2 linked regions of the Alligator mississippiensis genome follow. The protein of the gene in region 2 interacts with the protein of the main gene of each other region in a biochemical or structural test. Links are inferred from orthologs where the notes say so. Each region holds a gene or a part of one and is shown on either strand. Other genes may lie near its edges.

Region 1 (15,589 bases), on a different chromosome or scaffold from region 2:
CACACAAACTTGTGCTTTGTAACAGTTTCTTCCTCACCTGCTAGCAATCTGGGCATCAGGCTCCCTTTGTTCAGATAGGATGGCACAGCATTTCCTCTGCAGCATGTTCAATACAGCCTGCATGCCAGAAAATTCCAATTTCCTATTCTTGTCCTGTTGAGAACTAGTAGGAATTGGCACCGATTTAAGTTGGGACAAGTCAGATGCTGGTTTACCAGTGGTTTAACTAAACATATGGTTTACAATTACCTCATTCATTATGACCTGCTGCAACAGAGTTGTCTTTTTGGAACTTGCTTGTGTTCACACTGGCTTTGGTCTCTGAACAAAGCTGAAAGATTTACTCCAAGAAATCCAATGAAGAATACATTAGCCCCTTACTCGAACACTAAAGCTGCCATAATTTGAGACATTAGCCAATACTCAGTTACTCACTACACCGGTTTTCTTAGGGTTGTTGCAGCACCCATTTAGTCATCTAGTTCACATACAACCCTAATATGCAGAAGTATAAACAGGCCTTTTAATCCTACCTAAATTTGTATAGAAGAGGTATAGTTGCATTTAATGTTAATACTAAGAAAGAAGCACCAAAGTCTGTTTTAAACCCCTTCCCCGCTCCCTCCACAACACCTCACCCCATGCCAGGTTAGATACCTCTATAAACGTGGCTTTGCACATCCTGCATCCCCTAGATACAAATAGCCGGATAGTTACAAAACTTTCCCAAGAAGCAACTCTGGCACACTGGCTTCCTCACTCTGTGGCAACTACATGTTTGAGGGTCCCAGTGAGGAAGTATGCTTGTCTTGCATGGTGTGTAGTTAGAGACAGAGAAAGTCATGGGTTCAGGTCCTTGTCCCAAATGCTACTTATGCATTTTCTCCAACAATTTCTGAAAAAAGCAATGCATATGCAGTCCTTGAAACAGAACCCAAGCCTCTGTCCTTTCAGGGATGGCTATTATCACGGAGTTGGAGGCATTCTTGCCTACCCTGTAGCCCAGCTTCCAACAGGACTTGAAGTGCTTAAAGCACTCCACTAGTAAAAACCAGGTCAGCTGGTTTTTCATTAGTCCACAGATGCCATTTTAAACTAAAACACAGCTTTCCATTTGCTCCCTACAAATGAAGGGAACACAGCTTTCCACATAGGGAAGTTCATTTGATAAATAAGCACCTGGTTATGTAACTGTCAGACTACAAGCTGCCTAATCTACAGAGGTGAGCTTCACCATTGTTGCATACCACCCTGACCCACTCAGCGATTCAGGATCTGGCAACTTTTCTAGATTGGATGAATTCTTTTGGCCTTACAAGGGTTTGAGGAATCTCTTTCGTTTCACCTTGTCAATACCAGGGTATATTTTCTGCTATCAGCATACAAGTTTCTCCATCTGGTGCAGTCAGTCAGAAAAACCAGGAGACCCATGTTGGGGACAAGCTATATTTGAGGCCAGCATTTGGGGGTGTCACTGCCATATTGCTGGCTTCTGGTGATTCACCAGGTCCAAGACCTTGTGTTTGGGAGGCTGGCAGTCCTGTACACTTCAGCAAGGTTTTGGGGTTCTTGTCATCCATGAGTCTTCGTGGTCAAATAAGGATCAATGGTCTCTCCTGTCACTGAGAAGCTGGAGGATCTCCAATCAATGTCTTAATTAGACTGTCTGCCTGAGCGTCGGTTGGGTTGTGCTGTCTTCAGTCTTGATACACAGCCTAAGGCAGATATGGACAATTATTTGGGCCCAAGGGCCACATAGGCAGTTTTGATGAGCTGTCCTGGGCTGATGACCGAATTCTTTAGGGACATAATGAAAGGACTTTAATGTCCTCTCCTCCTCCCCCAAGAACTCACCAGAACTCGTTCTGGGGCTGTCTTCAGGCAGAGAGCAGTGTTCAGGTGTGGGAGAAGCTGGAATCACATGCCCCTGCCCTCTGGGTGGGGAGGTGTACGTGCATGCGTGAGTGCGGAGGGGGGGCTGCCTGGACACTAGGTCCCACGAGTCTGCTGTGGGTGAAGGGGTGGGGTGGGGTGGGGGGGCCTCGTACAGCAGAGCTTGCCCAGGCAGTGCACTCCGCACTGCCCCCACAGTGCTCTGCATGGGGCTGAGCTCCGCTCGCTCACACTGGGGCAGCCTGCACCACACTCCCACCAGTGCCCACAGCCCAGCCAAGTGCTGCTCTGTGCCCCCTGCCTCCAGTGGCAACTCCTGCTCCTGGTCTTGCCCCTGCAGCACTGTGCCAAGTCATGTTGCTCCAGGCAAGCAGCTTCAACCAGGATCCTGCCCCTTCAGCCAGCCTCCTGCAAGGTGGCTGGGCACTGGGGCAGTAGCCCAGCTGAAGCTGCTCACCTGCCCGCCTGCCTACCCAGAACAGCATGATGTGGTGCAGCACAGCAGGGACAGGAGAAACTTCTGACCGGCTGTTCCTGGTGCAGCTCTGCACCACCCAACTCCAACAGCAGCTCTTTCTCCTACTCCTGCCACACCACTCCTGGCAGGCATGTGGGGCTCCAGATCCCAGATGCCTTCCACCAGAAGGCAGCCATGAGCTGAAGCTGGAGCCCCATGTGGTGGGGCAGGAGCCATCTGGCTGAAACTGCTTGCCCAGAGTGGCGTTGCACAGTACATCACTAAGTAGCACAGCAGGGGCAAGATCAAATCCAGAAGCCACCACTGGAGGCAGAGAGTGCAGAACAGTACTCAGCTACACCAAAAACAGCCCCTCCAGAAGCTCCACGCAGGTTGGGACCTGGCCCAATGGGAGCCCAGTGCAGTGTGCCCTAACGCAACTGGGCAGAGCATGGCCCCATGCAGGGTGACTGGATGCCGTGGGCTGGATCCAGTCACCTGGCAGGCCGGATCTGGCATTCAGGCCATATTTGGCCACCCCTGGGCTAAGGGACCAGATTTAGATTGTGACCAGCTACTTGAATTGAACCAGGAATAGTCTGTCTCAGTGAACAACTGAGCTTTTGGATTTTCACAGACTTGTTGATGAGCATGTTAAAGTCTCTCAGGATGAAACTTTAACTACAACACTGATGGCACTAACCTGTAAAGGAGCATGCAATCTGTTAGACCCGAATCATTTCTGCTCTCATATGAATTAAGCTTGAATTTTCGTGCTCAAGGCACCTCCCTTGCATTGACTGTTTGATGAAAAGATGAAGGCACCGCTGTCTGGCTTCTTATCCTACCTTGTCCTGCAATGAAGTAGTTATCCTGGAGGAACAAGTTGAGCTAGTAGAGAGTTCCCAGTTTCATCCAACAAGGTCTGACAATGCAGACTATGTTAGATGCTTCAGCACTGGTGTGGTCAAAGATTGTCTGCTGGCTGGCCTTGCCTTGTCCCACAAGGATAAGTCATGTCACTTTGTGCGGCCTGCTTCTAGTCGGCATGTAGGCAATAGAATCCAATTTCCTTTGTATACTTTACATTTCCTTAGCAACATTACCTTTACATTTCCTTTCCTCCTGATTTGAACTCTGAGTTAATTGTGTGAGTGAAGGAACAGATGTCCAAATCTACAGAGGCCAGGAGAAAGGCAGATAAATTGGATCTGGTTTGGAGTATGTCGAGGTCTGGGAGCAGGTAGATTTGCAAGCCTAGTGGGATAGAAGCAATGGAAACAGAACAAACACTGAACAACCACCAGCAACAACAACAGGTAGAATGAAGCACGGGCCAATGGCATCAGGCATCCATTTACCTGAAATAATGTTGCCATGACACCCATGTTGCTCTTATCTGGCTCTGGAGAAAGAGAAAGGAAAGCAGCACTTACTTGTCACATCTGAGTTAGAGCCGGAAAGTAGCTTCTGAGCCAGCAACTAGTGGCAAGGCTGAAAGAAAAGAACTGAGACTGATACCTCTGTTATAGGTTTCTTTGGTTGCTTCATTCCTAGAAAGGATGAAACTGATCCAAAAGGGGAGGAGTCACAGCCCCACCCTCACCTGTCACAAAACCTCATTAATGATGTGCAGAGGTGAAAGTGACTAGGAGCTGCTCTCAGACCAATTCCTGGGATGATGCCCACAGGTATAACCAGATATGGGGCATGGGCCTTCAGTTAGCATACATAGAAAAGAAGCTCTTTAGAGAAGACCTTATAATTGAAAGCCATGCATCCTTAGTAATAAACTAAATCAGATAGTCAAAATGGAGGTGCGAAAAGTTCACTACTGCAACACGACCACATCCCATGAGACTACATTCAAACAGTTTTTGTAAGATTTGCTCAGCACGCTTTCAAGCAAACACTTTTAAAGTGAAGAAATCTAGCCTTACTACAGAAGTTTCTCCCCCTAGAGCTCTTACTCTGTCGCACACGTTTTACGTAGGGAACCCAAACAACTAAATTAATCCAGGGTGCTAAAAGGAATGTTCATGTAATGCCTTAAAAACATGTGTGTCATTCTCTTATGGCTGACAATGAGTTTTCTTATTGTACCTCTTTGCTTGGTTCTCAAAGCCAGACTGTGGTATTTAGACATAAGCCAGTGGGGTACACACCAGCTGGCACCAGCCTCCAGTAGGACACTGCTAACTGGGTTTCATCAGAAACACAGGCTAGCACAGTCATATGCCCCCAACCCTCTCACCCCATCCTACAACAGCTCCTGGAAGAAATGGTATTTGACAGTTATACAACTTCTCTGCCACCCGGGACTCCCCAGGCTGGAGGGATCCCATAGCTAGTTGGATCCAGCTACTTTTAGACACTGGGCTGCAATACAGGAAGAAACCCAGTGTCTATAAGAAACTACAATGACATCAGCCAGGTTCTGTGAGCAGAACCAAAAACAGATGCGCTTTGCAATTAGGGAAAGCTTTCTGGACTAGAAGACAAAACACCATTGAAAGAGTGTCACAACTGGATTAGAGGATGAAAGCCAGATACATGGAGCAAGACAGGAGAGAATATTTGGATTATCAAAACCAAGGAAAACCACAGAAGTACCATAAGATCTAACACCCAGCCAGAGCAAACAGAAGCTACCTCTAAGAGCAAATAAGAGTGCAAATGAAGTACAGTACAAAAAAAAGTGTGTGTATGGGAGGGAAAATCACTGAAGGCAGGTGTACAAGTCTGCCTTTCTATCAATTCATAGTTCAGAACAGACACCACCAAGTGTTGCTTTCCAAGCTTTGTTTACCCTACACTGTGCAGCATTTTAAAAAGACAAATCGATATTTTTAGGGTTTTTTTTTAGCAAAGCAAGCTTCAGAATCAAAAGTTCGATGTATTGGTTAGAATAGAAATGCACACCTTGAGACCAAAGGATGAGAAAGAGAAAAATACGCTTCTTAAATAGCTGCATCTCTTCTCATCAGACCTTCTAGGTAAGGAGCACCGTAACTGCAGAACATGCTTAATATCTTTTCTCTTGCCTTTGCAGAGGAGGAGCCAACAGGAGTATCATTTCCACCATTCAGCCTTTGGCATTTGAGGCACACCAGTCAGGTTTTCTAAGCACCGTACACTTTTTTTTTTAAACCCGTCCTCATAACTCACTCCTTTTAATCCTGGGATTAGCCCTGCTGCCCTTCTCTGTACCTTTTCCAGTGCCGTAAATAAGGCAGGTCCATGCATGGAAGAAGAAATTAAGTTAGAGCTTTCGTGGTGGACCAAGGCAGCTTTTTGTAGCCGGAGCAGTTAAATAAAACAGCAACAAAGAATTAAAACATCCACCCCTGTAGGAAGCAGCAACCTTTCCAACCCATCATCCGAATGCAACTGAAGGAAAGAGGGAGAGACGTACCCAAACTTTGCCTTCCGTCCCACCCCTCTCCTTCAAGGAGACAAAACGGGCAGCGAGAAGCCCGCTTAGAGCTGCTCAGTAAGCCTGGACCCATGCTGCTCTGACATGCCAGCGCCATATGCTCCCGGTTCAACAAATCCAAACATTTCTTCCCTTTCCCCCCCTCTTCACGCACAGAGAGCACCGCTTCAGAGCCGCCTGCTGAATCAGCACTTGCCACCCCGCTTTAAATACAGACTTCTGCCCAGCTTCAAAAGAAAAGCGTTGGGAGGCTGGGATGGGTCGGATCCTGCCTCGGGCAGCCTAACTTCGCCGGGTCCCTTCAGCCCCGCTTCTCCAAGGCTCGGGGGGGAGGGGGAGAAAAAAGAAAAGAGGGGGGCGGCAAGGTTAGACAGACGAGCCCTCCCCGCCCGAGCCCGGGGCTGCAGCCCGTTCTCGATGGCAAGCCAGGGAGAGGCCGGGACAGCAGCGCCGAGGGGCAGCCCCAGCGGAGGCGGCTGCGAGCCGCTGTGCCCCCGCGGCGGGGACTGGAGAAGCGGCGGGGCGGGGGCGGGGGCTGGGGCGGCCGCGTCCCGGCGCAGGGGCTGGGGGCCCGCCAAGTTTGCAGCGGGGACGAGGAAGTTGGCGCACCCCGCGGCCACGGCTCAGCCTTACCTGCGCGCCCGGCCCGCCTGGCCGCTCCCCCGCTGCCGCCGCGGCGGGAAGTTGGAGCCCGGGCGGGCGCGGAGCAGCACGAAGGAAACTTGTGCGGCCGCTGCGCACACGAGGCGACGCCGCCGAGCCTGGCCTCTCCCCGCCTCAGCTGACTCCCCGGCTTAGGGTGCATCCCTGCCTCCTCCCACCGCCCGCCCCGGCGCCGCACGCAGCCGCAGCCGCGCCGCCCACGCCCGGCCTCCGCGGGCCGCCTCCGCCCGGGGCTGCCCCTCGCCCGCGGGCCTGTCTGCACCGGACCCCGGCCCGGGGCCGCCGCCAGGAACCATAAAGCCTCCCCGGGCAAGGCGGCGCCTGGGAAACTCCCGGCTCCTTTTCTTGGGACCCGGTCAAAGGCGGGGGAGATCACAGGGTCAGAGTGAGGGAGCCGAGGGGGGACCCCGAGCGCGGCAGCATGGACAGCGCCCCCGGCCGCCAAGGAGCCAGCGGCCCTGCCCAGGGAAATTGCCGAGAAGTGAGCTGGCACCTTTGGGGTTGGGCAGACACATTGGGGGGTGAGCAGGCACGTTACAGGTTGAGGAGACATAGGGGGTGGGCAGACACATTTAGGACTGCGCAGACAAAGGGATGGGCAGACACATTTATGGGGTGAGCAGACACATTTAGGGTTCAGCAGACGGGGTTAGCAGGCACATTTACTGGTGGGCAGACATGGGGTGAGCTGGCACATTACAGGTGGAGCAGACAGAAGTGAGCAGGCACATTTAGGGTTGAGCAGAGAAAGGGTTGGGCAGACACATTTAGGGTTCAGCAGATGTATTTGGAGTGTAAGCAGGCACATTTAGGGTTGAGCAGACACATTTAAAGGCTGAGCAGACATGAGGGTTGGGCAGACACATTTAAGGGTTGAGCAGACAGCGGTGAGTGGGCACATTTAGGGTTGCCAGCTTTCCAGGACTGCCTTGGAGCCTTCAGGAATGAGATGTAAATCTCCAGGAGACTGCTGAGAGTCACCGGGGACATAACTGATAGGATATTAGTTAAAATAATTATTAAAGGTTGAATCCAATTTATGCTGTAGGGTGGTGGGTTTTTAAAATGTAATAGGAACATGCACATGTCTTCCTGCCATAAAGTCTACATGCCCATAACCATAACCCAGAACTGATATATGCTAGCATGTGGGCATGTTGGCATTGTGTGTCGTGGGCACACTGGAGTTCTGGAAACCTCCCAGAATAGATTCAAACAGAGTCAGCAGCCCTGGCAGACAAGGGACAGGAAAGCAGTCCCTGAGAGTATCCCTCAGCCTGTAATGCAGGCCAATACCCACAAGGGAACGCTATAAGCCCCCCTTAAAAAAGGGAGGCCGCTAGGTAGAAAATAACTGATTTCTGGGAACAATTAAAGACAATAGGGCTGGGAGTGAGGTCAGAGGTTTAAAACAAGTGCCCAAAGGGGGCACATGAAGCATAGCACACCGGACAACACCCACTGGCTCTCAGATAAGTCCAAGGAGCTAGCAGACACTGCCCAGTGGTACTCTGCCCAGAGAAAGGATCACACCAGGGACAGGACTTTAACACATCAGGGGATTTCATGGCCCACCAAGGATACTATAAGCTCTCTTTTAGTACTGGGGGCCACTAGTGATGTGTGACTGGTTACTTGGGACAAATCATAATGAAAACAGGGACAGGAGTGGAGGTCAAAGGTTCATAACAAGAGTGCCAAGGGGAGACACCAAGCAAAGCACACTGGACAGCACTCACAGGCCCTCAAATGAGTCCAAGGTGCCAGTGGACACTGCTCAGTGATACTCTGCCTGGAGACAGGATCACATTGGGGATAAGAAAGCAGTCCCACAGTCCTCAGGGTCCTCTTGCCCAGAGCCTCCTTCCTGGTGCAGGCAGAACCCCAGCAGGAGGTTCTGAAGGAGGCCGTGAAGGGGCTTCAGCCTGGTGCACTCCAGGTAGGTGTGCTCCACGGTTTCCCTCTGCTCCACGGTCTCCCTCTGCTCGCAGAAAGGGCAGGTGTCAGGAGCATCCGTAAACCATGCCAGATACATGCCTGTGGCAACAGCTCCGTGTAGGAGCCGCCAGCAGAGGCCCGGAACAGGGGAAAGGCTGGGGCTGCCCTCAAGGCTAGCACCAAGCGTGGTTGTACTGAGAAACCATTCAGGCTATGGGGTATCCAAATGCCTGGGGTTGTTCAGGAAGAAGCAAGGCAGGCTGCAGAAAAAGGGCCTTGCTACATGTTGGACTCTGAGTTACTCAAATGCTGATTGGTTAGTGCTACCTTGAGTTTGGGAGCAATCACACCTTCTAGCTAAAAGCCTCCTCTGATTATTCCCCACCTGCCCAGCTGTGACTTACTGCTGGAGGGCTGGTGAGCAGAGAGCTACAGCTGGGACTTGCTGCTGAGACTTGCAACTTGTCCTGGTGAGCTAGGACACGTTTCTAGCCATGCTCTATATGTGGGGGGATGTGGCTGGGGGGGAGGGAGAAGGAACAGTAGGCTGTTAGCATGGTTGTATCCATGGGGGAGGGCAGGTCATACTCCCCAGGAAGGCAGGAGATGTTAGCTTGGTGCCTGGGCAGTAGAGTTCAGGGGATGGAAAGTTTGTCCACACAGAACAGGAGAGTAAGGAAAGGGACACTGCATCCTGGGGTGCTAGAGGACTGCAACTTGGGCAGTTCACTTGCGGGGCATGGCCACCCATTACTAGTTCATTCAATTTGATTGACATGATGTACCCAGAAATTACACCAAGGAATCTGTACCCTTAAAAACACTCTACCCTGTTGTGGTCTTTCTGAGTTCTTCGCAATAAAAGAATGGCTGTATGTTTCCATAGTCAAAAAGCAAGTGACAGCCGAAATAGCATTTTCTGATGAGTACCTGAAATTTAACATGGGGTGCCTTGGGTCTAAAAAGGTTAAGAACCACTGCTCTAACCTTTAGCAATTGAGATGAGGTAGATAAGTGGTACTCAACCATTTTTAGACTCATGGCACCCCTTGACAGACTCAAGGTCCCCCCTTCTAGGCTCAAGACATCCATCAGAAAATGCGAGCCCTTTGTGTTCACTTGTGTTTGACTATGGAGAAATCCTAGAGAAAATGACAGTGTGTTTCCCTGGGGAGAAGTAGCAGTGGCACACCTTATGCCGCTGCTACTTGTCCCCAGGGAATGCCCATGCCAAGTGTGCTCCGGTGTGTGGCAGGTTACACTGGGTGGGGTAGGGGAGGCTGAGGCCAGCAACTGTGCCTTACCTGGGGTCCTGGGGGCCTCCAGGAGCTGCAGCCACAGTGCTCCTGCAGCAAAGAGCCTGGCCAGCAGCCAGAGCATGGCTCCAGCCAGCCAGGCTCTGGTTTCGGGTGGTGTGCACTGCCATGTGTGCCGCCCCACTTTTTTCTGACATTGGGTTTTTTGATCCGGGAACCCAAGAGTCTCCAGGGGTCAAAAAACCCTCCACGCTGCAAAGTGCAGGGAATGCCTGTATGTGCAGTGTATGGGACAGGTCTGCAGTGTCACTTACCACAAGTCCACACTCATATAGATACGGCCAAAGAGGCCACATCAGGTCAGAATGGTTTTACCACTATGGATTCCTATTTGAATTTCTGGGTTTATCTTGTGAATTGTGTGTGCACACTTAATAGTGCTAACATTGAGTGGCACCCTGCAACACCCTTGAAAGGATCTCAAGGCACCCAGGCTGTCACAGCACCCTGGTGGAGAATCACTGAGCTAGACAGTACAAAAGCAGATATTTTAGGTAGGCAGCATCTAGTTCTGACTGCTGCCAGAGACAGGATTCAGAACCAAGTGAATTCTTGGTCTGATCAAATGCAGCTGTTGGTTTCTTCCTAACAAGGGTGGGGACAGGGTCATAGCATGATATTGGAGAGACCTGGCCAATACAGCTACCACTGGATCCTGATGTTCAGACACCTATTTTTGGCCACTTGTATCCACCTAACTCAAAAGGAGCAGCCAGAACCTTTGGGCACTGGGCTTGGAGCACTACAAAAGGAATGTCCTGTCTCATCCTGTGGGCTGAATCTGCAAGAGGGACATGGCCAGCTGTCTAGTCAGCAGGGAGTTTTTATTTGGGGGGGAGGAGGGGGGCGGCAGGGAGAGGAAGTGCAAAATGCTTGCAGGATGATGCATCTTGGGTGTAGTTTGGACGAATGGCAAAAAAAGACAGGCGTTGCTTGGGAAGCTAGATGCTGGGTAATGAACGGGGATGGTGGCTAGCAATAGGGGACAGGATAGGAAGTTTCATGAGGAAACACTTCACCAGGAAAGGTGATGTTAACATGTTAGAATTGCAGAGATTTTGTACATATTCTACAATCTTTTGGCAAATTCATGTGTGCATAACAAGTAACCGCATGACCTTTTTTTATCCTAGGCTGCCTGTCATATTTTCAATTTTACTCTCACTTATTCTCAATGCTGCCATAACAACGCAGGGAACACTGCCAGTTTGGTCAGGTGTATAACACAATGTGTCTGAACAAATAATAGTAATGGAACAAATAACAGTAATGGAAACTGCAGGACAGGCTTTCTATATTGTAAAGATTATTAGATTTTCATGCACTCCCCAGGATTCCCACGTAAGCACAATACCTCTAACTTTTCCAGAACACAAGGCATCCTGCATTTCACTCCAGATATCTCTGGGGCTGAGTTGTGAGATTCAAGGAAGAATAAGCAACTCATAAATTGCTATGTACTGCATATTACCTTCCAGAGAACCCAAGGCTGTCTTTCTTCAGGAGACTTTTAAAAAAATATGTACCATTTGTTTCAATCGAATGCATTCTAAAGGTGGGCGGGAGGCATTCTCTTAGCCATACATAGAAGAACCCTCTTATAGTAGGATTGGCTCTATCTATAGAGTAGGACAAATTCCGGTGGAATCAGGGAAAGTCCCAGTGCCCTTTGTTAGAAACAACTCAACTGCTATATTCATGTTAACATTGTTCAACTCTTCACTGAACATATTCTAAAAATATAACTCATTCATTCTATATTTCTTTTATTCTTTCTCCCTTTGCTTTTCCTTTAATCCCGCTGTTCTGTACACTGTTGTCTTTGTACTTCATCCCTTCATCACCCCCGTCCTCCTTCTCCCTGGATGTTGTACTTCTCTCTCCTCCTTCTGTGTTCTCATTCCATTCTCTCTGATGAATCTTTCCTTCATGCCCTTCAAAATGTTTTTTCCAGTTTCTCACACACACATCACCTGCTCCAACATGCACAAGTCACTCTTTAGTGAATTCATTGCGCACTTTCCTCAGACAGTCAGCTTCCCAAGTGTGACCCACTCCTACTCTATGCTCAGTCGTGTCCATTTCATTCACTGTTGACCCTCCTCCCTTTTCACAATACTCACCCCGGTCAGTCATTTTTCAACTTCCCAGTTTAAATTGTCACTCATCCACACCATCAGTCAGTCCTCCTGCCTCTTCACCATTCCCAATTGACCTAGGCATTTTACAGTTCTTGAGTGATGCTGTCCTGTCAAGTGGAGGGTAACAGGGACCACTCCCATTAAGATCCCACATCTGGGTGGAAGTTGCATCTTCATGCCAGCCAAGCAGTCAGGGCCCACAGCCCTTCCCTACTTTGAAGAGTAGGGAAACTGGAGGGCCATGGCTCTTTATTGCTACTCTTCTTCATGATTGCTGAGGCTTTTTAATACTTCAGGTCTTCCCTTTGATTGGGCTAGGATCCAGCCCTTTTGACCGAAGTTGAGGGTTCTACTTGGGAGGCCTTACCTTCCACCTAGCAGAGGACAAAGGCCCCTTAGTTGAGCTTGATGGTATAAATAGACACCTTTCCACACATGGTGTCTTCTTCTTCCATTCTGGAAACGAGCCTCTCCTCAGCAGGCCGTGTTCTGGACAGAAAATGTGGCTCAGAGAGCTACTGTAGCAGCAAAGTAGGCCCTCACAGAAGCAGCTGTAGAAGAAAACAGCTGGGAGATAGTGACTACATCCTCCCAGCTGCTTTCTCTTCTCTAGTGAGGGTGTTGAGAACTGAGTTCCTCATCACTGGACACCCTTGCTGCTGAGGCAAGGGTATATGTTACAAGGACAGGCCAAACCTAAGTGGCCAAACATCAAGATCTGCTAGCTGATGTTAAGTGTTGGTCAGACTTCTTCAGTCTGAAGAGTCTGACTCAGGTTACTGAAGAGGAACAAGACTCTAGAGGGGAACAGCAATAACATCCTGCCAGCCCTGCAGGAAATTGGGATCTTTCCCCAGTTGTCAGAAGACAATGGTGATTTCCTGTCTCCCTATGGTGAGGTTGATGTACTGCTTCTTGCTGACACCTGTCTAAAGTTGTCAGCCCGGACCTTCAAGTACAATCTGAGATTGGGCAGTGTCTCCTCTTACCCTCTTCAAGGCTGTGAGTGGAGAGGTAGCTGCTTCAGCTCCTCCTCCTTCTATTGGAGTACATTGTCTCATGGTATCTGATGCTCCTGCCTCATGTTGTCCAATGAACCAGTAGGCCTATGGTTGCTGTTATTTTATCTCATTCCAAGGTTTATGCAATTGCATTTAGTAGTTACATAGATATCTCACCAGTACACCTTAGTGTCACTTAGTAATATGAATAAATACAGACCTGCCAATTCCTGGGTCACATTTCTAGAAATGTGGGAAGAAAGACAATTCACTTCTCTGTTTCTAAGCTCACAAAGTCTGCTCTCAGTTCAGGCAGACCTACATCTGGAATTCCTAGATTCCAAGCTATCTTCCACCTTACTTGTCCGTAATACATTTTACATGGGTGTAGAGCAAAATAATTTGCAGATATGTTAATACTAAAAATAAACAACACTGTTACAAACAGAGTTACATACAATACAGAACTGACAGAGGTAGTCTGTTGTTCTTTAGTTTTTTCTCAGCAGCCATACCTGGCTCTTAATTCACATTTTTCTCCAATCTTCATGCTTTTCATCACACAATGTAACGCTGCTGACCCATCAGTTTATCATACCAAATAGATACCTAAAATTAATTTTTAAATTATCAAAATGTGAAAACATATTATTTTAAAAGATCAACATGTATATGCACTTTTTGTCATTAATGTTACATTTAACAGACAGTAAAATGACTTGTATTAGAGCCAGGTAGTTGATGGATTCCTCTACAACTGTTTATGACACTGATAAACAACGTCCAGTTGAATAGGTATTAATAGGGTGTCTGTACATATTTTTTTTTTATAGAAAATACCATTTTTGCTAGAAGATGATTCAAGTATTCACTTGTACAATATTTATTTGTCTCCGTGTGGCTCTATGGGAAAAAAACAGTGTGCGTAAGGAATATTTCCTGTACATTCTGGCAAGTATAAATACTAGGAAAGACATGTTTAGTTTCCTAGACTACAGCTGTTTTGTTTGAGACCAGACTATACTGTCATAAAACTGTTTATCAAAAATGGCACCATTAAAATGGTTAAATTTAGCAGTAGCTATACATCCCTGTAAGTGCAGTAAAAGGCAGATTTATGATATAGTTAGATCCTTCTCCCTTAACTAACAAATCTCTGGAAAAGCTGCAGTTATACTACATCATGGAAATAATAGCCAGAATGTAAAATAGCCTTCAGGACAACCCCATATTTCCTTGGAAAATAAACGGTAATTTCCTTCAATGAAAACATGCAAGAATTAAGGGTGACAAAAACATTCTGGCAGAGCATAAGCATTATTTCTATTCAAGGCTAATCAAAGACATGGAGATTCCTAAAATATTTCCATACTAATAAATTTGTCAGGAAAATAACGAGAGAGCTTGGATTTAAGGTGCCTGCCAGACATTCAGGTAAAGGCACAATAGGACTTGATGCACGATCTGCACAATTGCATCTCCTGCCATGCCACAGTTTCCGAGCCATACAGAAGCGTTGGAATGACAATGGCTTGATGTCATGATTTAAGAAGACTCTCTTAGATGTCCAAAGGCTGCGCTTGCACATTTCAAGCAGTGTTGTATTTCCATGTAGGATGTCTGCATTTGATGAAAGATGTCTTCCAAGATAGGCAAAGTGATCCATGTTCTCCAGAAATTCTCTGTTGATTTGAATGGAGGTAGGGTTTGAAGAATAACAAGGCAGCTGGTATTGACGGGAATATCTGCAGAGATTTTCAAAGGAGGAGGAGAACAACTTAAGTGTCAGCTTCATGTCCTCATCCTTAAAATCTGGAACAAGGAAGAAATCCCAGCCAACCTAAGGGAAGCCTTGATTGTTACTGTCTTCAAGATGGGGGACAGAGCTGATTGCGGAAACTACTGAGGAATCTCATTGTTGGCCACTGCTAGGAAAGTCATCGCCCATATCCTTGCCAACTGCCCTCTCCCACTTGTGGCAAAAATTCTTCCAGAATCTCAAAGCAGCTTCAGACCATCTCAAGGAACTGTGGACATGATCTTTACAGCACGTCAAATCGAGGAGAAATGTTGTGAGCAAAATCAATCTCTTTATTTGGCCTTCATTGATCTCTCTAAAGCTTTTGATTCTGTAAACTGTGAAGCCCTATGGAAAATCTTGTCCATAATTGGCTGCCCAAACAAGTTCATTGGTGTTCTAAGACTTCTCCATGACAACATGTCAGCAAGGGTTCTCAGCGATGGGAATCAAACAGAACCATTTGAGATATAAACTTGAGTGATGCAAGATTGCATCATCACTCCAACTTTGTTTTCCATCTTGAACTCCACCATAATGCACCTTGTCAACAGCACGCTCCCACCTGGAATTGAAGTTGTGTATAGGATGGACGGAAGGCTCTTCAACCTCAATCTGAAATGGACCTCCAAACCATTCTTAATGTATTCTCGGAAGTCTATGAGAGTATTGGCCTAACTCTAAACATCAGGAAAATGCAAGTCCTTTACCAACCTGCTCCAAAAGGAGAAACAAACCTCCCCTCCAGTCAAATCAATAGAGAATTGCTAGAGAACATGGATCACCCAACCAGATATGCCTTGGCTGTAGTGGTAAGTACTGAGGTACTCTGGATGCTCCTCCAGGGCCCTGGGTAGCCCCTGCTACCACTGCTAGATGGCATCTAGCCCTTGCACTCTAGTCCAATGGTACTCAAACATGTTAGACTCAAAGCATCCCTCAGAAA
Region 2 (14,566 bases):
CTAGATTTCAGTAAACTGGAGCTTCTTGTTCAAGACTGATTCTGTAGAATACAGTAGTTTATTTTATACTATTCTAGTGATATGAAAACAACCTCTGCTTTCTGTATAAACCCAAAGTCCATTGTGTTGAAATCAACGGCTTCTTCCCATATTTATGGGGGGACAAGAGCAAGATCTGACCTGACAGTGGGCACAGAGGTTGATCTACCATAATGAAAGCATTCAAAGGACTTTTTAAAATTATCTTTGGAAAATCTTCTATCACGGTCCTTTATTCAAAAGGGGAGAAAGCCATATATTAAACTTAAAGATGGAAATCTTTTCAACTATACATTCTGAGAAGTATTAATTCCTTCATTCTTACTTCCTCTTGTATTGAAGTACTATAGAAATACTAATGTATTGGTATGTGTTGATAGGGTTCTGGCAGCCAACCAGTAATAGCTGAGAAAGAGAACCATATATGCAGACAAATAATAAAAATATGTAAGCAGAAATACAATTGTTCCACAAATATTTGCATACAGTCCCCTACAGGGAAGAGCTATCAGGAAGAGTAATATTTCTAAAATTGACTGCAGGGGTAAAGTCATCCCCATACACTGGCATACCAATGAAGGATCATGAGGATGTGCTTTGTACCATTGCTATTGTGTGGTTCCTAAGGCAGACTCAACTCTTGGTACACATACACAGGCAGGTAACCCTAAAAGCAACCATAAGTCATAACTCTACTTCTAGTTTGTGTAGACCATTACAAAACTACCATAGCTAGACCCCATTCCATGGTGAAGGCTATTGTGGTCTCAATGTCTACCCTAGTACCGTGAGGAGTGTGGTATAATGATGGTGCGGCAGAATATATTGGATGAATCCTTCCTTAATACACCAGTAGAAGTTTTAGCATTTTACCTACCCTATATAAGACTTGATCCTGTTTCTGTTAAAAATAAATAGAAAAAATCCCCACCGAGTTGGATGACAGCAAGGTGGGACAGTATCCATAATTAGACTGGCTAGCTTTCTTGACTAACTCTTGTAAAAAAAAACCCAGCAACTTGGTTTTCATTTAATTCACTTATTCCCTAGGAGTGGGATTTGTCCCTTTTAAAGATATGTGTAATGGCATCAAAAGCAAATAAACAAACAGCCCTGCCTCTCCCCCTCCCATGAGCAAATTAAGAAACATAGTTATATCAGTTACATGCAATATTTAATTCGTTTTCTAAATGCATATGCTTAAAAAGTCATTAGATAACCATTAGGACTAACGCACCCATTTTCTTTGTGCAATCAGCTGATTTAGTTAGCCAGAATCCTAAAATAATTCAGTTGAGAACCAGCATTTTTAGCGCAATTAACTCAGTAAACTTTTTAATTTCCTTTTTGTCTATGACAACTGTTATTTTCCCTTAAAGCTTCTAATTCAGCTGACTATTTTTGTTACATTGCAGATGCACCATTCAGCGCCTCTTGTGAATTAAAAGACTTTTGGCATGCTTATGACTCCATTACAAGATCTACCATAATGAAAGCATTCAAAGGACTGTTTTTAAATTATCTTTGGAAAATCTTCTATCATAGTCCTTTATTCAAAAGGGGAAAAGATTATAAACATGAAAAGTCTTTTGGATCACTCTGCATTTCTCAGGACAAAGTGAACCCATCAACACTGGAAAATGACTTATTAGTTTCACAAAAATCAAGTATTCTGCCTTGTTTGAACACTAGGCAAATAAAGACCTCTCCAAATACTGCAAGACCCCAATGAGCTCAAGGTTCTATTATTCCATAATCAGCAAGTAACTGAGTTTACACTAAATCCGTAACGCAGATAAAGGGATGATTATTATTCTTCCTACTTTAAAGAGCAAGCAAGTAAGAGGCACAGCTGGGTTATGGACCTCAGATCTCTTCCATCTCAGTCCAGCGTAAGAACCACAAGACAGCCTTTCCTCTATTTTAATTGCTCAATTTATTCCTGCAATGCTTTAGATGTTTGCTTTCAAGAGCAGTTTTAAAACCAAGTCAATTGGGGGGAAAAACAGAACACAACAATTACATAATTTGTTTTGAATAATTTGGTAAATTTCTAATGTCAACATGCCGCCCCACCAAGTGAACACCAACAGCTTAGATTCAGAGATTTCCCCACTGTTTATTATGCCTCATTCGTAATATCCAACCACCCCTGGGTTGACTCTAGATTTTGTACATGCTAACAAGATTATGTTACGCAGCTTGATTAGCACAAATGCTTGCAGAAATTAAAAATTTTAAATATAAGCAGTTTAACTCTATTACTCAAAACCAGAATGAAAGGACTCGGGCCAATTACCAGATAGCTTTGCTGTTGGTTCTATCGCTGAAGAATTGAAGGTCAGGGTTTGATTATAGAAAAGCTGTTATTCATACAGTGTGTGCAGACAGACTCTAAGTGAACTTTACACAGAAAGTCTATGCAGGGAACACTGAGCTCCTACATTATTGAATTTTCCGAGCCTGTGATATACTTTTATTTACTGCTTCAGAACTAGGTGAAGCAGAACAAATAAGGAGAAGTAGAGGAAAGTGAATTCCTACTTACAGATTGTTTTCACAGTATAATATATAAGATGATACATTCACATGTAGTATGTACAATAAAGTTCAAACAACATTATTAAGGTTGTGAAATGAAACACTCAATAAATTTATTACCCCACAGCTGTTCAATAGCCTACAAGTCAATCATCTTGCTTTTTCTCAAAACCGCCAAGTCACAATTGTCACTTGTCTCTCTGTTAATCTCAACAGAAGTACCAAAAATTTGAAGTATAGAGAATGAATTAATCTTACTCCTATAGGGAAATCATCCAGAAAAGAAAAAAAGTGATCTGAGACCAAATTCACAATAACCAGAAGTGGACCTATACTTTAAGTAAGAGAGATCCTCAGGCCAAGGCCTTTAATGAACAACACTTTAAAAAGAGAGAAAATATTATTTTGCACTGTAATATTGCACTAATAGAAATTGGAAAAGGACATGCCATTGTCAGCCATTCATTGTGTCCTAATCTAGTATGCAGATATAAGATCAATGCTGTCATATAAACTGGTTGCTCATGTTAATATTATAAGCACTTTTGCCTGGTGATCAAAATCTACTGAATGCTGTGTTTGACATAAAATACTGGCTTATTAATAATTTTCATATTAATTTCCTTCATGGAATTTTTGTGAACCTTACGAAATACTGCCTATTCATAACATCAGCGAAAGGACTACCAACCAGGTTCCAAACAGACCAACTGACAGTACTTGTCAGACAGACCTGAAGACAATATTCCCAGTCATGAGCAAAGGAAAGAGATGATTGTAAGACTGGGTGAACACGAAGACCTCAACTTGCTTCTCCCTTAAACTAATGAGTTTTGCTCTCGATTTATACACCCTGTGATCTGCATCACAGGGCAATGAGCTCTGGGAAACACCCCACAAATGACAGAGAAGTTCTATAATAGCAGAAGGGTCTGCAAAAAAAAACAATATAGGCCTACTGGAGGACAGTCATGTGGCTTCGGAAAACTGTGCACAGAGGGTAGGGAAAGTGATGAGGTAAGCAGGAAACAAGCTGTCCCAAGCTGTATTATTTCTGTCTAATAGGACAAGGACATTTTGAACTCTCCTTTTATTTTCATCTTCCTTTCAGAACAATTAAGATATCTTGAAATCACTCTCTCTTTCTGTCCAAGTTCCATTTCCTCCTGCACCTTGGTCAGGGTTATAATCTAAACAAATTAGAATGGAAATCACATATCGCCCAAATCTCTCACTGCCAAGAAGATAGCAAGAGACAGGCATCCAGCCATATTTATGGCTGTTTTTACTCTGGTCCTTGACCCATTTGATGACCTGCTCCATAGCCTGATCTCATTAACACTTCCTTCTCATTAACATGAAGATATTAATGTACACTGGATACTCTTAGAGGGAATTACGTAGAAATTCTTCTACTGGGAAAATCCATTTTTTCCATCATGAAATACAAATAGCACAAACCAAACCACCTAATCTTTTCTGGGGGAAATAAATATCACTTTTTAGCTATGGGTTTAAGGAAGTCCCTCCTTACTCTATAAATATATTCAGAACAGAACTTATCATAAATTGCAACTCATCAAAATAAAGTACAGACAAGGAATCTACCAATATAAATCTACATTCTAGTACAGGCCTTAGCTGAATATCAAAACTAGTTTAAAAAAATCCTCTGTAGAATTTTATCAGAGTCAACTATAAAATAATGTAGTGGTTTGAATGGCTTGTACACAGCAGCACTTTAGTTACATTTCCATATGCAATATTTTCATGTTGCAGCAATTTTTCCTTCTACTGTTATGAGATATGTTTACAGTGGCAATGCTTGCAAAATTTATTCTGTCTGTTGATAATAGGTATAATGGATGTCCACTTAGAAAGGACTTCCTTCTAGTAATAAAAAAAATACATTCAAGGCTACAAATAATCTAGACTGTTTAACTCCTTTTATGCACAGGTTGTGTCCTTACTTCAATAAAGTCCCATTTTTCCTACACAATCACTTAAAAGGGACTTTGTAGAAACTAGTCAAAATGCCCCAGGCAAAATGACTGTATCCTGGAGTCCATGTACAAACTTATTTAAGCATTACAGCAGCTGTGGATTTATAAATAATTTTTGGAGATACATGCAACGCACCAGAACAAAAATGTGCATTTTTTTCATCTGACATTGATTCATGGAGAAACATCATTCCGGTTTCACTTGTTTCTAGGCTGTTAAAATGTCAGTATTAATGTAGGCATGAGATTCACACATTGCCTATTATTTACTGTGATGCAATAAGCACAAGTTGTCCTGCTTCTCTGTTTCAGAACCACCTCAAAGATCTGACGTGCCACGTTCTTCCACACTTAGCAATGCTAGAGAATCATTTCTAATCCCCCCTGCTAACGGTATACTCACCAGACTGGTTATTCCAAGTCGCTTGGTAAAATACATTCTTACCCAAGTTAGAGAAATATTGGCGTAAACAATTCAGCTGTGTACCCGTTTTCAGAAAGTCTACAAATTTCAGCTTTCAAGCATCCACAACCATGGATAAAATTCAAAGATGAATTAACAGGATCCGAGCATAAGCATATTTCTTTGCACTATCCTTCAGTGGGCGATTATGTACAACTGAAGTTACAGCATAGATGATAGGAGCTTGAATTGTTTCATATGCTATAGTACAAATATATTTACTGTGGAAGGCTCCTTGCGTTTTCTTTTCAGACAGAAAAATTTATAACTGAATCTCCTTCATGGCACAGGTCAAATATATACAGCATCACAACAGGGAAATTTCAGCTTCTAAATTGACTGAGGCTCCATGTGTATGGGGAATTTGTTAAAACACCCAAGACATAACACTCCTGCTTACCCCTGTTATCAATTCAGTTCATATTGACATAAATAGGAGTTGGTGCCACACTTCTAAACAAGGTGAAATACTGCTGCTCTCCAGCAACAGACACCAATATGACACTACTAATATGCTAGACTTCTTGAATTAACAATGAATATGATTACCCCAAGTTGCATTAGCAATTTTTCTGAACGACTATCTTCAACTTACGTCATTCAGCCAAACCTTTCAGTGATACTTATGAAGGAACAAACATTCAACACCGCCAGTCAGAACTGAGGGTCTAAACAAAATTAATATTTATATTAAGGAAAAGCTTAACCAGTAGGTGCTATCAAGCCATCCATTTAATTAGAACAACCTAATGTAAAGACTCCTATAACTTACTTCCATGTTATACATTTATTGTTTATGAAATTGCTTCAAAACAAATGTAGAAGACATGCAACTGATCAGTTGGATGATGCTGAAAAAATAAAGTAGTTTTAAAATACATGTTTAGGGAAAAACAGGTAGGAAAAACATAAACACAAGAGCAGAATAACACAAAGGTATAAAACTACAAGTCAAATTGAATAGCAATCAGACATAGAGGGAAATAGAACAAAGAGAAAGGTATATAAGGGGGGAGGGGAAGGGAATCTCAGGAGTATCTTCAGCTGTATCTACTACCTATCTATCATCATATTCCAATGCACCACCACATTAATGACAAGTTTATTCAGTGGGGCTAATTGGAAACCATTTTCAAGTGAATATCTGAAATGCATAACCTATGCCCCATTAATGTTCATCAAGGCAAAGAAGATGCACAACTTGGACTATTATGAACTTTGCCAAAAATGTCAAAAAAATTATTAGCCCAAAATAAAACGGTAAAACACAAAATAGAAATCACAGACTGTATGCATACACCACCACTATGGCTTAATCTTCTTTACAATAAAATGATTGTATGATATACGCTATTCCAGTTAACTTTTTAAATGAGTGTTTGGACTTAAGAAATATATTTCTTATCTACATTTTCTCAGAGATTTTTAAGATACCTGTGAAACCACAAGGAAATCTGAATATAGTTGGTAGGGAGTCACCTAAAAGGTTCTTCAAATTAAGAGAAAAAAATAAAGCAAGAATATGAAGACTTTGAAGTCTGTTTTGATTTCTGATCACTTAAGCTACTATGAATCTATTAATCGTAACTATTAAAAAGAGCCTAGGTGGGATGGGTAGGAATGAAAAGGATGGGTAGGAAAGAACATTATGTACGAATGATAAAAATTGAAGCCACCAAGATACCTCCCTCTATTAAAAAAAAAAAAAAAATCAACTCGTGAACTGTAAATTTTATTTATTTATTTATTGGGGGGGGGGGGGGGGGAGGGTACTGTTTCCTAGTAGGATTATGAGCTTGTGCCCTAGTCTCAGGGAGGACTGAGCCAGTTCTTTACAAAACACAAACTTGGATTTATTCAGGTAAACATCAGACATGCTCTGGCAAACAAGAACATATGGAGGCAAGGAAGATATAATGGATTTGCTGTTTGCCTCTGAAACTTAACAGCTGGGGAAGGCATCCTATTCATAACCCAATAACTTGTCATCTTGCAGTCCTTTTCACCTATCAGCACCATTTCATTTGATGATGCTTCATGCTCTAGGCGCCTGAAGGGAAAGTTATTAATAATATTAATATAAATGATTATAATACTAATAGTACTGCCAGTAACAACAGTAATGCAGAGCGTGAACGTTCATAGTCACTCTAGAGGAGGAGGAAACTCCCGGCTGCCGTCACTTAGTTTTAGAGCTGGGAGATGCGGAGCAAAACCCAAGAGAAGCGAGCGGCAGCGTTTCTCTGCGATTCCTGACCCCGGTGCAAGCTCCCCGGGCCTCGCTAACCCGGCACAAGCTTCCTGGGGAGGATCAGCTCACATCTACTTACCTTCCCAAAGCAGGAGGAAACCCACTGTCCACCCCGGGAAAGGCATCTCTTCCCGTCGTGTAATCCTGTTATTTCTGCCCCCGAGGCCGAGCGGTCCCGGGCAGGCTGCTGCCAAAAGATCTCACCAGGTTGCTCCCAGGGCCGGCGCCAGTGCGCTCAGCAAGGGCTGCCCCATGGGCCGGCGCTGCTCGCGGCTCGGAGGGGACCTGCTCGGGCGGGGCGGGGCGGGGCGGGGCGGGGCGGCGCCTTCCGCGACCAGATGGGAAATCCTGCCGCTGCTGCCGGCGCTGCCTCCCGCGTGGTGCGGGGGGCGGGGGGCTCACATCCAGCCCCGAAGCGCCGCCTCCCGGGGAGCCCGGCCCGGCCCGGCCCGCCGCAGGGGGAAGCTCCCGGGCGGGGCGGCTCCGGCTCCTGTCCCTTGGCGACGGGCGACGCGTCCCGGAGCCTGGGATGCTCGAAACGCTGCCGGCTCCTCGCGCTCCCGCGGCACGGCCGGGCCGGGCCGGACCAGACCTCGCCAGGCTGAGCCGAGCCGAGCCGAGCCGAGCCAGCGCCGGCGGGGAATGGCCGGGCCGCCCCTCGGCCCAGCTTAATGAGCAGCGGCCGCGGGGGAGGAGACGGGGGCGGCCAGCCCTCAACTTCGGAGGCAGAAACCCGGGGCGGCCCCGGCTCCCCGCTCTGCCACCTGCGCAGCCGGGCCCCGCCCCGCCCCGCCCCGCCCGCAAGGACACGGGTCCGGCAGCGCGCCGCGCCGCGCCGTGCCGGGGCAGGTGCGTGTCCCGCGCGCAGCCAGCGGGCGGGGCGGCCTAGTGCTGTGCCGTGTCCGCGGCCGGCAGCGCCACCCCGGACAGGACTCCGCTCGGTCCCTTCCTCCGGGGAAACTTCCCAGGGAGGTGCCGAGCCCGACGCTGCCCCCGCCTGGGCGCAGGGGTGTCCCGGTGCAGCCCGCGGGGTGCGCTCCAGGTCCCCCCGCCCCGCCCCGCCCCGCCCCGAGCTGCGCGAGGCTTAGAAGCGGGCTCAAGCACCAGCTGGGTCCGCAGGCTCCGGCCTCTCCCTGCTGCCCAACATATAGGCACACATCACTCCCACACCTTCCTACACACTCCCAGGCCCTCGCGCACACCCGCACACACACACCCACTGGCCCCTACCCCGTGAGCCCACACACTCCCACACCCCTCCCCTTGCTGCGAGAGCACCTCCGGGTTCATTCTGCCTTTCAGTCAGGGGCTGCATCACTGAAGAAGATCATGCAGCAGTAGTAGATCTTGCTCCGTTTCATTAACAGTGGGGTAGGGCAGAGGGGCTGTAACCCATTTAACCTGGACCTGGACCTTTGCCTAACCAGTGTTTAAATTTCTTCATTTGCCACTCGGTGGTCTTCCCCAATGCCATCAACCCGAGGAATCCTGCCATTGAACCACCACTAAAATTTCAACTTAATACTGCATTTAAAAAGGTCAAAATAAAAAGCAAGAGCACTCACTCCCGCACCTTCAGAACCAACAGTCCCCTGAGGGCCACATGCCTGGTTCCACTCTTCTTAGGAACAAGAAACTACAACAAACGTAGGAAAGGACACCTGGTATACAGTGGCAGAAAGTGCAGAGATGGTAAGAAGGAAAAAAAAGTAAGGGGAACAATCATGGCTGACACAACTATTATCTTTCCTGTGATCTGCCAGGTCATTGTGGCATTGGATAGTTTCAAGTTGCCAGACTGAAATCTTTCATTAGGATTGGTTCATTGTTATGACATATTCACATCTAGAAAACTCTCTTAGATTATTTTAGAGATGCTTACATTGTTTGGGGGTTTTTTTAACTCTCTGCCTCTTAGCCCTGTCCGTATGGACTCTGTGGTACCAGATGTCACAGGAAAAGAGATGCGAGAAATCCCAGCAGGAACAGCAAATGCTATTTTTTCCTGTTAATTTTTTGAGTTTGCAGCCCATGTGACTTCAGGAACATAATCAGAATCTGGGAGAACAGCAATGTGACACAGGCACATCTAAGGATAATAAGGGAGCGGAGAGAGAGCAGCTTCATAAGCGAACAGAGTTTGAAAGGAAAAGGGAAGGCACTCAATGGACAGTAAAATTATATGAACCAACCCTAAACAGCTTTGGTCCTTCAGCAGCTTTACTGATAGGCATACAACCTTTTCAAGAATAGGTGTTTTCAACATACCTGACAAAATGCAGGACACTTGAGAATGGCAGCAGGACATTCATGATGTCTGTATAAAACAAAGGGGGATACAGGTTAAAAAAAAAACAACATAAAAAGAAAAGCATTAAATCAATGCTTTGAGGAGAAACATTTTCTGTTAAGCTGAGATTTACCTTAAAATCATATTTAAAAGCTCACACTGTACACAAATCAATATTGGTGCCATCTAAAATAAGGCAATATCATCTGCATTGTTAAATGTCAATTTCTATCCAGGACACAAAGTGACTTTCTGGATGAAATTCAAGGACTTCAAATCTCTTCTGGCATCTTAGCAACTGCTTATAAAGCTACATATTTGTGCCAGGTCCAAGCTCCATTAAAAATTGCTTGTGGATACCATCAAGTTATTTACAGAACAGGCAGAGTGAAGGTTGCCATAAATGTTTCTTCGGAATTTCTAGACTTTTCAGGAGTCTTTAGTTGTGCATGTTTGCATGGCTGTGCATGAGCAGAATGAGGTCTGTCAGCAGGTATAAAAGGTATGTAGAACAGGCATGATAGTTGCTATCTTAGATGATACAGACACTGAATTAAGGACCACAAAAGCTCCGATAACTTTTAAAGAGCTATACTATATTGTTAAGAGCTGTTAATATCTTTATCCGGTGTGGATCATGCAGGTGTGTAACACACACACATACCCACCAGGAAGTTACAAAGGACAAGATGGGAACATGTAGTACACACTGACTGAGCTGTTGCTGTTGTCACTATTTTCTTTCCCATGATAAAAAGAAATATAGGTAAAAGGCAAATAAACCCTGGTAAAATGCAACAGAAATGGAAAATATTGCTTGTGTTCTCTCCATGGGGGTCAGGGAGCCACTCTCCTAGAAGACTGTCTTGAGTTGACTTCAACTACACATGGTCCCATGCTCCTGTTTTGAGAGTTCTTCACCTTCTATTTTTCCCTGCAACCACACGACCAAACAGAAAGATTGTGGTGCACCCTGGGAAATTTGGATCAGCAGTCACCCATCACGGAGAGGCACCAGAATCATCCCCCAACCCTTGCAGAGTTTGTACTCTAGCAACATTCTCATTCCAGAAACTCCAAAACAGTCCCTGGCTGTTGTCACTATAAAACCAACAGCTGGGGCAAGCAGAGCACATGCACCACCAGCAGCAGCAGCTCAGCCAAGACACTGGAGTTTCCTGTGTAGGTCAGGAGTGCTGCCCCCTGCCCTTCCAGCCCACCCCTCCCAGGTCCTGTGTCTCCCCACGGCCCTCTCCCAGCTCAGAACTGGGTGCCCCCCACCCCCACTCTCCCACAGATTTTGACCCAGGTGGCAACTCTGCCTGTTATACCACTGGTTTGGTTCAGCTGAAGTACAAAGCCTGGGAGCATGAGATACCCAAACTACCCTGTGACACTTTTCCCAAATATAAACATTTCAGTTTGGAATTTTTCACCCCAAACTCAAAATGACAACACTCTCCATCTCTCTCTCTCACCTCCCCACCCCCACACTCCCAACCCTCCTCCTACACCTATTTGGAATCCCACTGAAGTTAGCACAGGTCTATGATAATATGTTCCCTACCAGATCACATTCCTGGTATTAATAACTTCTGTGCAGCAATTCACCTCCACTGTCACATACATAAAATGTTAATACAGTTTGCTTGGTTCTTAACTGAACCTTTTTGAAAATGATGCAAAAATCAGATCTGTTAACTGTGGAAAAATAAAAACAGCTGTCCTTTATTTGCTCCATAAGTACAAGCTCCCTAATAATGTCTCCCATCACTCTCCCAGCAAAAATAATTAGAAAATAAATTGACACTTTCCTGCAGGCTGCTGTGATTGTTAAACTATAGCTTATTACTCATTTATTTCTGCTTTGCTTTGAGTCATTAATTTAGCACTGCAGACTGAATTATTAAATTATTGTATGATTCTTTTCTAAAGGCACCCTGAGATGTTTTGATATGATAATGCCTCTTACAAACTGAAGCTGCTGCAAGTAGTCTCTTAGTTTTTTCTTATGCTATGGCCAGTTAGCAAAAGACAATTACATTCAGAAACTCACCTATCTTGCCATTTGCTTTAAATGAACAGTGACAAAACACTTTTAGTAACCAATATCTGATTCCTGATGAGCTGAACATTGTTTGCTTGTTTGTTTTCATTTAATTACAGCAGACACATCTCTTTGTTTATTGTAGGGTCTTTCTGTGCTGATACCATTTATTTCCTAAATGGTTTAAAAGATAAAGAAAAATGGTTTAAAAGATACAAATATTGTATATAGACCAAGATCTGTTCTTTGATGGAATACTGGTTGCCAAACTTTACAATTGGTCTTACATGTACATCAAGGACTGCACTGAAAATAATCTGCTCCAGGCAGAATTTGCAAACAGAGGCTAATGGAAAAAGAGACAGGTCACATTTTGGTACTAACAGTCTGTGACAGTGTGTTTTTTTTGCAGTGAAGGCAACAAATGCTGTTATCTGTTTCAGCTCAACCCTGTCCCACCATCCTACTCCCCACCACAAAGACCCTTAACTCAGATTTGTGCATATTTTGAACCTTAATGGTCTTGCATGCCAGGGGTATGGATTAAATGTGGTCTTTAACTCACGTCCCTTACAGTGAGCATTTGAATGTAATCTAAGTTATGAAGTTCTCTGACACATTCCCACGGTTCTCTATGTGCTATATTGTGTGTTGTTCTATTCATTTGAGGAGGTTCTACTCATTTGCCTCCGATATGCTAGCTAAGTGCCAGTTTATATTACTTTGCTCAGCATTTAGCTCCCAGTACAGTTGTCATTTCTGCACAACTTAGCTGAGTCAGAAAAGATGTATCCCAGAGACCTTCATCACAACATGTCACCAACTGGTCAGAGCATCACGCCAGGGAGTGAGTGTAGCAAGCCTGAATTTGGAAGATGTAACTCCAAAAAAGCTAGACATAGCATCATAAGGATGATCATCCATCTTTGGGAGAGAATTAAAAATCTCTACAACACTTACTGTTGGACCCCAATTTAAAAGGTTTGATTCATTAACAGTTTTCTAAATCCTACAATGTTTTCTACATTTTGGCAATTTTTGTAACAAAATAAAATGGAAACATTTATTTAGGCATCACTGAAAAATATTTTCACCTTCTTGTTTTTATTTCCAGCCATAACTATTTGCATCCAAAATCACGGTTAAGTTTCTCTGTAACTGCATTTATTTTTTCTGAATAAACCATTCACCCACTCTAGAGGTTGAATTGCATTGATTTTGGTGGTTTACAGACTTCTTCTACAAATCCTTGGTTTTGGATGGGGGGGGTTAATTTCTGGAATATTAATTACAGTATTTTATAGTGACCTGAAGAAAAATGCTCTGCACTCAAAAGCTTGTCTAAATCTATCCCAACTGCTATGTTGCTCCAATAAAAGATATTACGTACAAAAAACTGGCCTCTCACATAACTGTATTGTAGAAGTTCTTTACTGTATCAGTATGATCAGTATGCAAATGCTTCAAAAGCAATAAAAGAACAGTTTTCCTCCAACATCAATGGATTACTCAGTCACATACAAATAGTAAAATTATTAGTGAGTTATATGGTATATTAGTGCATATGCCAACATCAGTTTTCCCCTGCCACAAAGCATATGGGTTCACAAAGCACCCTTAACTTCTGATGAGATGCACATTCTAGAGTTTTTTTTCTGATGACAGTACTCCTGGCAAACATTACATAGTGTGCAACACATCCCAACACCACCAGTAACATTGGCATGCTGGTACTCAGGTTTGCAGTTGGCATTGATTCACCTATAATCATAGAAAATTAGGGTTGGAAGGAACATCAAGAGGTCATCTAATAAAACCCTCTACTCAAAGCAGGACCATCCCCATCTAGATCATCCCAGCCAAAGCTTTGTTTAGCCAGGTCTTGAAAACCTCCAAGGATAGAGATTCCACAACTTCTCTGGGTAGTGTTTTACATCCCCCTTGTGAAAAAGTTATTTCCTAATATCCAACATAAACTTCCCTTCCTGCAACTTGAGATCTTTGCTTTTTGTTCAATTGGGAGCCGGCCATCTCCCTGGCAATTGGGAGCCTGGCCATCCAGACACCCCAGAAATAGAGGGGGATAAGAGCAGCTAGGACCAGCTGAGGAGGAGGTTCTCCTGAGGTAGTGAAGGGCCAGCGGTGCTACCAGGGGCACATGCAGACAACGTGGTCCACGGATGGGGCTTCCCTCACACCTTGCTCTGGGACTAGCCCACACCCAGGTGAGGGTGACTGATAATGTTCAAGAAATCAGAACAGATTTAAGAGAGGTTCCCAAGCTACAGTGTGGGCAGCTGAGGCACCAGTATTGCAGAGTGGAGGATAGACTTTGGAGACCCCAGAGGACCAGCATGAGGATAAGTGAAGCTCTTTTTATTTTATTATTGTTACTTTTGGATTTTCTAGTTACAGACCTGAGGCTGGGAGCCCAGGGCTTGGGAAGAATCCTGTAGCCTGGCGGGGCAAGCCACAGGCCAGCTGCCTGGGGAGGCAAGGGTCCTGGTCAGTGAATTGTCAGCCAACCCACCACAGCTCGAGTAAAAGGGGTGGGGTGTGGCAGTACACCTGGCCCAGCACACAGAGCAGCACCCCTCAAGTCACAGCTGCTCGCCTGATTCATAGTGAAGTTGATACAGTAACATATTCCCTGAGATATCAAGAATACAAACTTGCCATCAGGGGCCCCACTGCAGCTTAGGAACCTCCCTTAAATCTGTTCTTATGTCTTGAACATTACGGCTAGGTACAGACAGTCAAAAAGCCCAAAGCTAAATCGAATCAGTTTTTGCAGGTTAGTCTAAGATTCACAGATTAAATTGAAACAGAAGTGAACAGACATTTATTTACCTTTGATTCAGGGAATGCAGCCACCTGCCTGCAGTGGCTCAGGCCAGAAGCTGGGGGGGGGGCGGGGTGCTAGAGCACAGCT

Evidence for each region.
Region 1: the proteins of RET (region 2) and GRB10 form a complex in vitro, tested with the Homo sapiens proteins (2 studies listed by BioGRID). The link is inferred for Alligator mississippiensis from reciprocal best matches to the Homo sapiens genes RET and GRB10.

What each region holds. Positions count from the first base shown.
Region 1 is NC_081828.1:91,952,334-91,967,922, reverse strand, and holds the start of GRB10 (growth factor receptor-bound protein 10), read right to left. Parts: upstream 6,576-15,589; 5' UTR 6,420-6,575; intron 3,845-6,419; 5' UTR 3,787-3,844; intron 1-3,786.
Region 2 is NC_081829.1:34,603,126-34,617,691, reverse strand, and holds the start of RET (proto-oncogene tyrosine-protein kinase receptor Ret), read right to left. Parts: upstream 7,826-14,566; 5' UTR 7,423-7,825; coding exon 7,377-7,422; intron 1-7,376. UniProt on the Homo sapiens protein: Receptor tyrosine-protein kinase involved in numerous cellular mechanisms including cell proliferation, neuronal navigation, cell migration, and cell differentiation in response to glia cell line-derived growth family factors (GDNF, NRTN, ARTN, PSPN and GDF15).